Caenorhabditis elegans: one gene and its partner. The protein of the gene in region 2 interacts with the protein of the main gene of each other region in a pairwise test. Each region holds a gene or a part of one and is shown on either strand. Other genes may lie near its edges.

Region 1 (6,477 bases), on a different chromosome or scaffold from region 2:
TCTATACCCCCTCTGATTTTTGACAATTTTCGGTAAAATCGGGGGTTTCTTTGTAATTCATGAATTTATTTTGTGAATAACTTCACACCAAAATTATCAGACGGTTTCATTTTTACATTTAAAAAATAAATATAACACTTGAAAACACGTGGAATGCCTGGGATTGTCCTGGAACGTTCTTATTTGCTTCAGAGGCCATATCTCGGCTCCCAATCGGTTTCGCAACACCAAACTTTATCAAAATGTTCTTCTCCGTCTAGTTATTTCTATGTTATTAGTTGTAGAGAACATTCATTCATATTAACCAAATGGAAAAAGGAGTAACTGCAGTGATTTTTAGAAGGCTTGATTTAACTCTGGAAACGAGCGTTTGGAGGCGCAGAGCTGAAGGTTTTGACTTTGTATGGTACAGAATTTCAGCTCATATGATTTAAATATCTTCGAAGCTTTGATTTTGATTAGAAGTCCTTGAAATTTTATTTGGACGAGTTCACGAGACCGCTCAAAAAAGAGGACAAAGGCAAAGCGAGGCCGCAAGTAGTTTTCTCAAGCTAACATGCGACAATTAGTCTGGCATTTGATTTATCCATGGATTTCCACGGATTTGATGTTCATATAAGATTATTTTCAATTTTTGTTATAATTTAGTAATTTTTTGTCGAAAATGTATTCTCAATCATTATCTCTGCGCCTCCAAACGCTCGTTTCCAGAGTTAAATCAAGCCTTCTAAAAATCACTGCAGTTACTCCTTTTTCCATTTGGTTAATATGAATGAATGTTCTCGCCAACTAATAACATAGAAATAACTAGACAGAGAAGAACATTTTGATAAAGTTTGGTGTTGCGAAACCGATTGGGAGCCGAGATATGGCCTCTGAAGCAAATAAGAACGTTCCAGGACAATCCCAGGCATTCCACGTGTTTTCAAGTGTTATATTTATTTTTTAAATGTAAAACTGAAACCGTCTGATCATTTTGGTGTGAAGTTATTCACAAAATAAATTCATGAATTACAAAGAAACCCCCGATTTTACCGAAAATTGTCAAAAATCAGAGGGGGTGCTATAGAAGTTGGACGGCCATTTTTCCGATATTTTGACCTAATTTCCGTGATTTTTGAGATATCATGATAAAAATTGGGGAGCATAGGTTTTTCAACATTTGCTATCGAACTGCACTAACACTTTTCCTGAAAATATTTTGAAAAGCTCCAAACCGCCAAATTAGAGGGGGGTGCTATAGAAGTTGGACGCACTGTATAAATATTGGTTTTCTTGATTTTTGATAAATTTTCATGCAATTTGCTACAAAGAAAACTTGGTCACCCGGATGAAATTTGCTGAATCTATTTTTAAAGTTGGCCTAAAATCAATTATTTGTAAATTGTTTTTTTTTTGCATAAAATGTCAGAAAATTTGCCGCGCACACCAAAAATTAGACAAGGAAAGTTTGACCGAAATTATTGACTTTTTTTCCAAAAATTCTGGAAAGGTACCATAAAATTGAGCTATTTTTAATTTATGCAGGCAGACCACACGGACTTTATTAAAAATCCAAAGTGTGCTACGAATTCAGTAATTTTGGTGCTCCAAAAAATACCAAAAGCTATCACATTTTCCGAGTCCGAGCAACACGGCAAATTTGCCGAATTTGCCGTGTTTTGAAAATATTGGAAAAAGAGATTTTCTTGAGTTGGCACAACACGGTAAACTTTGAAATTTGCCGCTCACCCCTGTTCGGTATATTGAGTCATTTTGGGCAAAAACCCCACAAACGCTACTCCACTCTCAAATATGTTTGAAAATTGACTGAGATGTTGGTTTAATTTTGAAGCTGCCTAAAAAGTTAAAATCCACTATTATAAAAGTACAAAATGCTTAAAATCTTTCATATTATGTAACAAAAATCATATTTCGTATCAAACACAAATACCACGTTCCAATATTTTATAACGGCTAACGTTACCACTGTCCAATTTGAACTGATCTATAACTGATCTAGAATCAAACTTTATTTGACGTATAACAGTGATGTTCAAGTAAAAATACCGAGTCTTGTGATCTTGATCAACGAAAAAAACTAATTGAAGATAGACGACGGCACCTATAAAAGAGGCGAAAAACGTGGTAAACATCAGAAAATCATTTTCGTGACTTTTAAAATACAAAAATGATTTCAACTTCTTCAATTCTGATTCTCGTCTTCCTTCTCGCTTGCTTCATGGCTACCAGTGCTCAGTGGGGATATGGAGGATATGGAAGTAAGTTTTTGTGCTTTTTTGATTAAAAAAAAACTTACCTCAATATAAAATTAAATCATTCACACATATTTTTCATTTTCAGGAGGTTATGGTGGATATGGTGGATACGGACGTGGAATGTATGGAGGCTATGGACGCGGAATGTATGGTGGATATGGCCGTGGAATGTACGGAGGATGGGGAAAGTAGACAAATTAGCCTACTAACTATATTCATTCTAAATCTCGTCGATTCCAGCAGTATTCTGATGGTTTGTATACTTATTCCCATATAAAATTTTTGAAATTCAAAAAGTATTATCCACATTGTAACTATTGAGTGAGTGAAACTCAAACAACTCGTTCAAAATTAGTAGAATGTAAAGCCTGCAAGACTAGAACTTCAGTGTGCACGGAAATTTTTTTTTAAGTTTCAGTACTTGACCAGTGCATGATCGTATTGTTTGAGTTACTACCAATACCTTGTAATCCGTTTAAACAATTATATTTGGTATTTTGGATATACTTCTTAAAAACAGCAAGTGGACGATTTGTGATTTCTGTAACTTCGAAACAAAATCTTATCAACTCAACATTTTTGCAAAGTGGTGTTTTACAACATTATTGACATGGTTTGCAAAGTATATTTTGAAAACTTATATGAAAGAATTGAGAAAATTTTGTAACTTCTAACAGGCAATTTCTCAAAAAGTTGAGTTAAAGTTGGATGTTGTGCTAAAATTAAAAGTTGATTTATAATGAAAAAAAATTATTTCAGAAGATCAGATATTTTTTCTGTATTTCTATATAAATTCTCAAAAACCTGGTTTTTCTTATAGTTAAAATTAAAGAGAAATAATCAAATTTTCTGCAAATAAATTTATTTTCTATTTAATAATTTGAGGAGTTGCTCAAAAATTTACTCTAGCTTCATTGCTCCCATTTTGACTGACTTTGAGACCGTTTTTGAAAAACTTCTCGAAACTCTTAATGTAAAGTAAATTTATTATCAAAATTTATAATTGTTTCTCTATATTTTCATAGAACTTTCCTCAAAAAAAACTACGACGCTACTTTTTCACAGTAACTTTTTATACAAATGTATTTGGCAACAAAAAAACATTTCTGATTTGTCATTTTCCATGGATCATCTTGACAAACATCAAAACACTTGAGAAAAATTGCGTATTTTGCCCGATAGGCCATTACCAATTTGACCAAGTGACCAATTCAAAGTGATTCACCAAGTCAGTTCGCCGCGTGCAGGAGGTGGAGATGTGGTAGAAAAAAAAAAGATGATCTTATCAGTTAGTTGTTTGACGAAAAAGGAACCCAAAATGAACAGTATAAAAGATGCCAGGTAACCAGGTAGAATACAGAAAACTTATTTACAAGTTTTTCAAAGAAATATCATTATGATTTCCACTTCTTCACTTCTTATCCTTGTCGTCCTTCTCGCCTGCTTCATGGCTGCCAGCGCCCAGTGGGGATACGGTGGAAGTGAGTTACTTTAAAAGTTTAAATCCTAAATTTTCGATCATTTCTGTTTAACATATCAATATATTGTAACTTTTCAGTGCCATATGGTGGATACGGTGGAATGGGAGGCTACGGAATGGGAGGATACGGAATGGGATACAGACGGCGCATGTGGGGAAGCCCATACGGTGGATATGGAGGATACGGTGGATACGGTGGATGGGGAAAGTAAATTCGATATTTTAAATAATCTTCTGACTTTGTAAATAATAATGAATTTTCGATCTTTATTTGTTATCTTACTCGCAAACTTTGAAACATGTATCTAAAGAAACGAAGAAGACAGAGAATTTCAGGTCAAAGTACAGTGCTGGCCAAAAAGATATCCACTTTTGGTTTTTTGTGTGTAACTTTTTTCTCAAGCATCCATTTGACTTGAATTTTTCCGTGTGCATAAAGCGAAATGTTACGCAAATTTGCGGACCAAACATTACATGATTATCGATTTTTTCTGAATTTTATTTCAATTTTTTGATTTTTTCGTTTTTCCAATTTTCATTATTTTTTTTGAATTATCAATAAAACGCACTCTGTTTGTTGCACTGGATTTGTTTGGTTGATAAATTATTTTTAAGGTATGGTAAAATCTGTTGGGTGTAAAAATCTTTCCTTGGACGTCAAGAAAGCCATTGTAGCTGGCTTCGAACAAGGAATACCCACGAAAATGCTCGCGCTGCAAATTCAACGTTCTCCGTCGACTATTTGGAAAGTAATCAAGAAGTACCAAACTGAGGTGAGTTCGAAAAATATTATTTTTTAATAATAAATGTTTAGAAATCCGTCGCTTTGAGAATCTCGCCCGGCAGGCCTCGAGTGACAACCCATAGGATGGATCGCAACATCCTCCGATCAGCAAGAGAAGATCCGCATAGGACCGCCACGGATATTCAAATGATTATAAGTTCTCCAAATGAACCTGTACCAAGTAAACGAACTGTTCGTCGACGTTTACAGCAAGCAGGACTACACGGACGAAAGCCAGTCAAGAAACCGTTCATCAGTAAGAAAAATCGCATGGCTCGAGTTGCGTGGGCAAAAGCGCATCTTCGTTGGGGACGTCAGGAATGGGCTAAACACATCTGGTCTGACGAAAGCAAGTTCAATTTGTTCGGGAGTGATGGAAATTCCTGGGTACGTCGTCCTGTTGGCTCTAGGTACTCTCCAAAGTATCAATGCCCAACCGTTAAGCATGGAGGTGGGAGCGTCATGGTGTGGGGGTGCTTCACCAGCACTTCCATGGGCCCACTAAGGAGAATCCAAAGCATTATGGATCGTTTTCAATACGAAAACATCTTGGAAACTACAATGCGACCCTGGGCACTTCAAAATGTGGGCCGTGGCTTCGTGTTTCAGCAGGATAACGATCCTAAGCATACTTCTCTTCATGTGCGTTCCTGGTTTCAACGTCGTCGTGTGCATTTGCTCGATTGGCCAAGTCAGTCTCCGGACTTGAATCCAATAGAGCATTTGTGGGAAGAGTTGGAAAGACGTCTTGGAGGTATTCGGGCTTCAAATGCAGATGCCAAATTCAACCAGTTGGAAAACGCTTGGAAAGCTATCCCCATGTCAGTTATTCACAAGCTGATCGACTCGATGCCACGTCGTTGTCAAGCTGTTATTGATGCAAACGGATACGCGACAAAGTATTAAGCATGATTATGTTGTTTTTAAATCCAATTGCTCATATTCCGGTACTTTAATTGTCATTTCCTTGCAACCTCGGTTTTTTCAATATTTCTAGTTTTTCGATTTTTTTGAATTCTTCTGAAGTTTTTTCAAAATCTGTTGAACATTTTTGATGAATATTGTGTTTTTAGATTTTGTGAACACTGTGGTGAAGTTTCAAAACAAAATAACCACTTAGAAAAAAGTTACACACAAAAAACCAAAAGTGGATATCTTTTTGGCCAGCACTGTATCTATTTTTCATAGTTTGTTGCGAACCCAGATTGTGATCCAATTGGTTATATGACCTACTAGAAGATTATTAGAAAATTGTTACTGTTAAAACTTGTAAGGCGCCAGGCGCGGTTCCAAGGCCTGACGCCTGCCTGCAACCGGATCCTCACAGCATTTTCACAACATTCCAAAATTAGGTGTTTTGACAATAAACTGACAAAATCTTATTATATTATTGAGCTCCAACATTCGATTGTTTTGTGTGTTTTTTTTTTGAAATTAATTTTTTCAAATATTTCCAATCAAAATGAACCGGACAAACTGGGCATTAAAAGATTCGTGTATTTTTTGAGATTTGAAAAATTTCGACATTTTCAGTATTTCTATTGTTCACCTGTATTACATATTTATTGTTCTTAAATACTGTATTTCCTCAAGAAAATTTTTTCGGGGTTTTTGATGTTTGAAACAGGGGTAGGCGACCAACGGTTTTTTCCAGCAAATGGGCAAATCGGTAAATTGCGGAAATTGAAAAATTCCGGCAAATCGGAATTCCGATTTGCCCAAGATTTCGAAAAAACAGCAATTGCCGAAAAAATAGCCGGCAAATTGTGGTTTTGCACTTTTTTCTTGGAAATTTCAGAATTTAAATTTTAAAAATTATACGTATCCTATAAATGATCCTACATCTGTTTTGAAAAGCACACAAATTCTATGAAAATATCTAGAAAAAACGAAAAACAAATTTCAAAAAGGCACAGTTTCCGTATTATAAAAAAATCCCTCTAAAACTGCCGGCA
Region 2 (7,453 bases):
TTATCAATTATTTTAAAAAACGTTAAGTTCAATTTACCCAACAAATGACAAATTTTCTGACGTTTCCGCAAAGTATTGCTGGTCAGGCAAAGAGAAGGGTGCAAGACTATTAGAGACTGCAATACAAATAGAGGCTGCAAGACTAATTTTCGATTGACCTCTAGGGGTACAAGACTAATAGAGGCTGCAAGACTAATAGAGAAAATACGGTATATTGATTATTGAACGTCTCTGAAATTGATAAAACGCCAATATCAGAACCATTAAAGACATTTGTGGAAACAGATATAAAACCCTGTAGACAGATCGCATGTGTGTGATTTTGACAAAAGTGAGACGATGTCAAATTGGGGGGGTCATCGAGCTCAGATCGAGTATGCGGCGATGGACAGCATAATACTGTATGACGTTGAAGTTGAATATGAAAGAATGTAAGTTTAGACCGATTATTTTATATTAAATGTGATAAAATGTAAAATTTTCAGCATGAATGCAAGAAGACGACGTTTCTAGATCTCCAACTCTACATCCAACTTCTGCATATTGACATCCTTCGATTTTATTCTTAATTTTATCCTTTTTTTTTAAATTTTTGATTTATTCTCTTTTTTTATCAACAAATATGTTCCAAAAAAAAATTTGAAATAAAAGCATTTTTTAACATTGCAAATGGATTAAAATTAGAATTTGAATTATCGTCGATGAAATGAAATTCCTCATTGTCAGTTTTTTGTCAAATTCTTATGTAGATCTTGCAAAATCAAGAAAAACAGATTATATTAATAAATATTTCAAACACCAAACCGGGAACAAAATCGTGTTCACTATTCTGAACGTCATGGGTTCGTTTCCCAGTAGTGTGATTTTTTCAAAAATGTTTTATGCCAGACACATATACAATATGAGCCTAGTAAGTGACTTCAAAGGGGTCCACCAGGGATGGCCAAAAATTGTGTCTCTTTGCCCATTTGTTACAATACCGAAACTATTAATTTGATCTATGTAGATATCTATTTTCAATAATTTCTCAGAACTTTTATTCCAAAAAAAAATCTATATCCTGAGACAATTTTCTAACATTACTGATTTGACAATGATTGTTCACTGCCGTCAAATGAAAGATCATAGATTTGTAGATTATAGACCATAGACACAACGAAAAGATTCAAGAATTTTAGCCCGAAACTTATTTGGACCCCTAACAGAAATTCAAGCAATAACTGTAGTCTTTTCACAAGCCGAAAGATTGTTGAGTTCTTAATAATTGAAATTGAATCATTCTAACAATAATTCAATTGAGCACTCAATAAAAAAACTACCGTAGTTTTTCCATGTAATTTTTAATTTTTTTAATAATAAATCATTCACTTTTTAATGCTGCACCGTACATTCTTACACACGATAATCATTTTTTTTCTCAATATTTATCATATGCAAATGGAGTTCAGGGATGAAATTGCAAGATGGTATAGCAGTGCCCCCATTTTCTTTTCATTTTTCCCATGAGTCAGCGTAAACGATCACTGAAAAAGTTCCAATTTTCCTCATTTTTGTGTTTTTGTTTCTCTGCAGAAAATCTGGCATTCATTTTGTTTCTCTCGTTTACAACTGTGTTTTGATTATTCCATTTTTGGTCCGCTCACTCTCATTTATCTTTTTTTTATCGTCCGGTAACGTGACAGTTTTTCTTATCTGCTGAAATTACACTAGTTTTCGAGTGATTCACCTTTTACTTTAGTATTTTTCTGTTTTTATTTCTTAGAAACTGCCTATGCTCATAATTTTCTGCCGTCATAAATTGTCGATTTCTGCACGCCGAGCCCGCAATTTTTTCTAAATTTTAAGCGTAATTTTCCCAGCCAATTGAATCCTTCTCATCACTTTGCTTTCTAAAAAACAACCCAAATGCGCCAAGATTTTATTATCCTTTTTGTCTGGCTAGGTACTTTACTTTTAGAGCTTAGAAATATCTATAGAAAGCCCATTTTGTGAAAATTAATATTTCCATGGGCCGCCTGACATTATGTCCTTTTTGATGATACCGTTTAATTCGATTTGTGATCTTTTGCTCATGCTGCCCAGAGATGGTATTTTTTAAGAAAATTTGAAATAATTGATTTTTTTTCTCTCAAATTTTCAAACATTGTACTGTACGTATTTTTTTTGTTCTCAAACCATTTTTCTTCCAGGTTACAGTCAGTATGCTCTCATCACAAGAAGAGTTCTTCGTCCAATTCAGCATCAGCTGCTGGATGCCTTCCTTCAACCTGATGGTGGCTGCTGAGAAGGGACGAGTGTTGCAGCGGGATCCGATGTTCAAGACCGTCCCAAGATTGCTCTTCAAGGAGCTCCGCCAGCTTCCGGCTAATGACGACATTTCCGATGGTGAATTGAAGAAGAAAGTCGCGGATGCCATCGACCTCTACCTGCCAGAGACCGTCGAGCTTTTGTGAGTTTGAGTTGCTATTGGATTTAGTGAAAAAGTATTAGCTGGCAAAGTATTGATTTTCTTTAACAGTTATGGGCCCAAAGTAAAACTGCCAAGTCCTTCATTTATTCCAATTATTAACTAGCTATGTCAGGCGAATCACATTCCACGAGGACGTGATGAGAATCATCAAGAACCAAGCGGCAATGGCAAGAAGGGAGAAGGAGCTCAATACTCCCAAGCTCGTCAAGCCTCAGGACATGCTCAAACGTGTCAAGCCTGCCGAGAAGAAGGAGAAGATCAAGCGTGGGAAGTCAGCTATCAAGAAGCAAAGCCCTGTAGTTGAGATGCGTGTTTTCAAGGAGAGGAAACGTGCTCAGCCATGTGCTTCGGACAATGAGAGTTTGTCGATTGCTCAGCGCGTCAAGCGCATTTGTTTGGACGACTAGGATGTGACAGGTGGGAAAAATCGATATATTTGTTTTGTAATTAAAACTTGAATATTGCAGAGCTTCATGTACTTCTTCCATCGACACTTTCCCTCGACACGCCTGCACATTTAATTGAATCAACTCATTCAAAGTACTGTTTATCCTAATTTCACCCCCTCACCCTGGCTTTTATTGATTTTCTCGATACACTTGCTGAATAGTGTTCCTATCGAAATACGTCCTTATCCCAACAGTTTTCCCTTCACCAACCCGATTTTCTGGTACCACTTTGCCTTAATTATTTTTTCTCTCCACATATTTTTTTTGCCATTCCCCAAGCATTTCCTGTTGAATATTACCGGTTCTTCTCCAACTCCCCAAGTGCTCATATATTTACGCATTTTCCAGTCAATCATTACCGATGATTTTTTATTGTATTTAGTTAGATGAAGAAATTTGAATAGCTCATGAAAGAAAAGACAATTTCACTGATTTTCATAGTCGACGGCATTCGCAATTTTCATCTTCAATGCACTATCGGGAAGATTGTCATGAGTCGTGACCCGGTCGGCGGCGAAATTCCTCGAACAGTATACGAAGCACGTGCTTGTTATTGTTAAAATATGAAAAAGGATATATGGCTTACTTTTTTTTCGGTAAAACTTTCCATTCAAGTTGAAGTGGGAGCTTGAGATGATTTTCACTTCTATTTTAATAGAAGGCGCATTTGAAGGCGCGAGACAGGCAGGCGTTTTGTCGCCTACAAGGAAGCCCTACCACAGACTTTCAGAGCATAGTATGACTACGCAAATATACTGAAAACTCATCAGAAACGTTGAATCTACAGGTGGTGTCTCCTTTTTTTTTTTTGACTTCGTCGCACTTCTTCAGAGTTCATGCATAGTTCAGATCTTTCTGTAAAAGTGCGTGAGAAAGCTCTGGCAAAATGCTGAGACAGCGTTTCTGCGCAGACGCACTATGCGCCACTCCTGATGAGCTTTTTCCTTTCAATACTTAATTGCTAATTGGCCGCCAGGTTACTATGGGCCTGTGGTGTAGTGGTTAACACACTGGTCTTGTGAGTCGGACTTTAAATCCCGGCTTCAAGTTCAAAGCCAGAGACGTCGGTTCGAATCCTTCCGGGTTTCTTCTAGGGTTCCTTCGGGTGTTTTTTGTTTTTTAGATTATTATCCTAAAAGCAAGAATTTATGAACATTTGGTGTTTTGGTAAAGTTCTGCTCTGCACAGAAGACCGGGGTTCGATCCCGCCAGAGGTCAATATTTTTTTGGTTTTTACTCGGTGCCATTGCTCATAGTCTTGATGATTTTTACAAAGTTTTCGATGAGCTTGCAGCATCAAATATACTAAAGATCATCATGTATCCATCGCTCATGATGCTATCGCACCTCCAAATCCTGATATTGCTGAAAAATTATTCTATGTTCCAAAAAAAAAGACCAACATTCTACAAGTTCGAGCCAATGCCAGGTTTGTCTAGTGCATTTTAATTTAATTGGAACTTCATGGATCGATTTCATTCCATTTTAAACAGCCCCGAAAAAATTTTTATTAATATAATCTGATTTTCCTGATTCAAGTGTGACAGTACAGACAAAAAGGAGAATTGCAAGATCTACCAAGAATTTGATTTTTTTCCATGAGCTATTCAAATTTCTTCATCTAAATGCATATGTACAATAAAAAAATCATCGGTAATGATTGACTGGAAAATGGGTAAATATATGAGCACTTGGGGAGTTGGAGGAGAACCGGTAATATTCAACAAGAAATGTTTGGGGAATGGCAAAAAAAAATGTGGAGAGAAAAAAAAATTAAGGCAAAGTGGTACCAGAAAAAAAAGGGGGTAAAATCAGGATAAACAGTACTTTGAATGAGTTGATTCAATTGAATGTGCAGGCGTGCCGAGGGAAGGTGTCGATGGAAGAAGTGTGTAGAGCTCTGCAATATTCAAGTTTTAATTACAAAACAAATATATCGATTTTTCCCACCTGTCACACCCTAATTGTCCAAACGAATGCGCTTGACGCGCTCAGCAATCGACAAACTCTCATTGTCCGAAGCACATGGTTGAGCACGTTTCCTCTCCTTGAAAACACGCATCTCAACTACAGGGCTTTGCTTCTTGATAGCTGACTTCCCACGCTTGATCTTCTCCTTCTTCTCGGCAGGCTTGACACGTTTGAGCATGTCCTGAGGCTTGACGAGCTTGGGAGTATTGAGCTCCTTCTCCCTTCTTGCCATTGCCGCTTGGTTCTGGATGATTCTCGTCACGTCCTCGTGGAATGTGATTCGCCTGAAATAGCAAGTTAATAATTGGAATAAATGAAGAACTTGGCAGTTTTACTTTGGGCCCATAACTGTTAAAGAAAATCAATACTTTGCCAGCTAATACTTTTTCACTAAATCCAATAGCAACTCAAACTCACAAAAGCTCGACGGTCTCTGGCAGGTAGAGGTCGATGGCATCCGCGATTTTCTTCTTCAATTCACCATCGGAAATGTCGTCATTAGCCGGAAGCTGGCGGAGCTCCTTGAAGAGCAATCTTGGGACGGTCTTGAACATCGGATCCCGCTGCAACACTCGTCCCTTCTCAGCAGCCACCATCAGGTTGAAGGAAGGCATCCAGCAGCTGATGCTGAATTGGACGAAGAACTCTTCTTGTGATGAGAGCATACTGACTGTAACCTGGAAGAAAAATGGTTTGAGAACAAAAAAAATACGTACAGTACAATGTTTGAAAATTTGAGAGAAAAAAAATCAATTATTTCAAATTTTCTTAAAAAATACCATCTCTGGGCAGCATGAGCAAAAGATCACAAATCGAATTAAACGGTATCATCAAAAAGGACATAATGTCAGGCGGCCCATGGAAATATTAATTTTCACAAAATGGGCTTTCTATAGATATTTCTAAGCTCTAAAAGTAAAGTACCTAGCCAGACAAAAAGGATAATAAAATCTTGGCGCATTTGGGTTGTTTTTTAGAAAGCAAAGTGATGAGAAGGATTCAATTGGCTGGGAAAATTACGCTTAAAATTTAGAAAAAATTGCGGGCTCGGCGTGCAGAAATCGACAATTTATGACGGCAGAAAATTATGAGCATAGGCAGTTTCTAAGAAATAAAAACAGAAAAATACTAAAGTAAAAGGTGAATCACTCGAAAACTAGTGTAATTTCAGCAGATAAGAAAAACTGTCACGTTACCGGACGATAAAAAAAAGATAAATGAGAGTGAGCGGACCAAAAATGAAATAATCAAAACACAGTTGTAAACGAGAGACGCAGGTGGTTAGATGAACGCTTGCGGCAGCGCACAGAACTGCGAGGCGACAACAATTGCGCGGCGGTAGATCAAAATTAAATAGGAAAAAATTTTGCACTTTTTTATTCAAAAAATACTGTGTTTGAATTCTGACGAATGAAGTTCAGGAATAAATTAAATGACAGGTGCCAGTACTATGAAGAAGGTTGATTTTTTTCAAATGTACAGCTGGTATCAGTGTAACCGCTAGTACCAATGCCATATTTGCCAATTTTTGTTTCAGAAAAAAAAATATGGCCAGATGTGATGTGAGGGTAAAATTGTTTCGCTTTGAAGATGAAATTACCAGTTTGCAATATTTTTTTTTAATACTTAAAAGTAGGAGAAACGAAAATATTTATTCAATTTTATTGAGAAAGCATATTAAAAAGCGAAAAACTGATGCAATGCACTCCAAATTTTAAATTGAATTTTACAGATTCATTTGTAATTTCAAAATTACAAAAATCAAATACTAGATCACAAAGCTAAAACAAAATGAATGCCAGATTTTCTGCAGAGAAACAAAAACACAAAAATGAGGAAAATTGGAACTTTTTCAGTGATCGTTTACGCTGACTCATGGGAAAAATGAAAAGAAAATGGGGGCACTGCTATACCATCTTGCAATTTCATCCCTGAACTCCATTTGCATATGATAAATATTGAGAAAAAAAATGATTATCGTGTGTAAGAATGTACGGTGCAGCATTAAAAAGTGAATGATTTATTATTAAAAAAATTAAAAATTACATGGAAAAACTACGGTAGTTTTTTTATTGAGTGCTCAATTGAATTATTGTTAGAATGATTCAATTTCAATTATTAAGAACTCAACAATCTTTCGGCTTGTGAAAAGACTACAGTTATTGCTTGAATTTCTGTTAGGGGTCCAAATAAGTTTCGGGCTAAAATTCTTGAATCTTTTCGTTGTGTCTATGGTCTATAATCTACAAATCTATGATCTTTCATTTGACGGCAGTGAACAATCATTGTCAAATCAGTAATGTTAGAAAATTGTCTCAGGATATAGATTTTTTTTTGGAATAAAAGTTCTGAGAAATTATTGAAAATAGATATCTACATAGATCAAATTAATAGTTTCGGTATTGTAACAAATGGGCAAAGAGACACAATTTTTGGCCATCCCTGGTGGACCCCTTTGAAGTCACTTACTAGGCTCATATTGTATATGTGTCTGGCATAAAACATTTTTGAAAAAATCACACTACTGGGAAACGAACCCATGACGTTCAGAATAGTGAACACG

The links.
Region 1: the proteins of Y75D11A.3 (region 2) and nlp-27 interact in a two-hybrid assay, tested with the Caenorhabditis elegans proteins (one large-scale study listed by BioGRID).

What each region holds. Positions count from the first base shown.
Region 1 is NC_003283.11:3,985,764-3,992,240, forward strand, and holds nlp-27 (Neuropeptide-Like Protein), read left to right. Parts: upstream 1-3,614; 5' UTR 3,615-3,654; coding exon 3,655-3,739; intron 3,740-3,816; coding exon 3,817-3,950; 3' UTR 3,951-4,007; downstream 4,008-6,477. Other genes in the region: nlp-28 (QWGYGGY-amide), read left to right, coding at 2,171-2,261, 2,344-2,450.
Region 2 is NC_003284.9:1,740,647-1,748,099, forward strand, and holds Y75D11A.3 (DEK_C domain-containing protein), read right to left. Parts: upstream 5,572-7,453; 5' UTR 5,556-5,571; coding exon 5,308-5,555; intron 5,175-5,307; coding exon 4,880-5,174; 3' UTR 4,870-4,879; intron 4,820-4,869; 3' UTR 4,450-4,819; downstream 1-4,449. Other genes in the region: Y75D11A.2 (DEK_C domain-containing protein), read left to right, coding at 2,202-2,449, 2,583-2,877.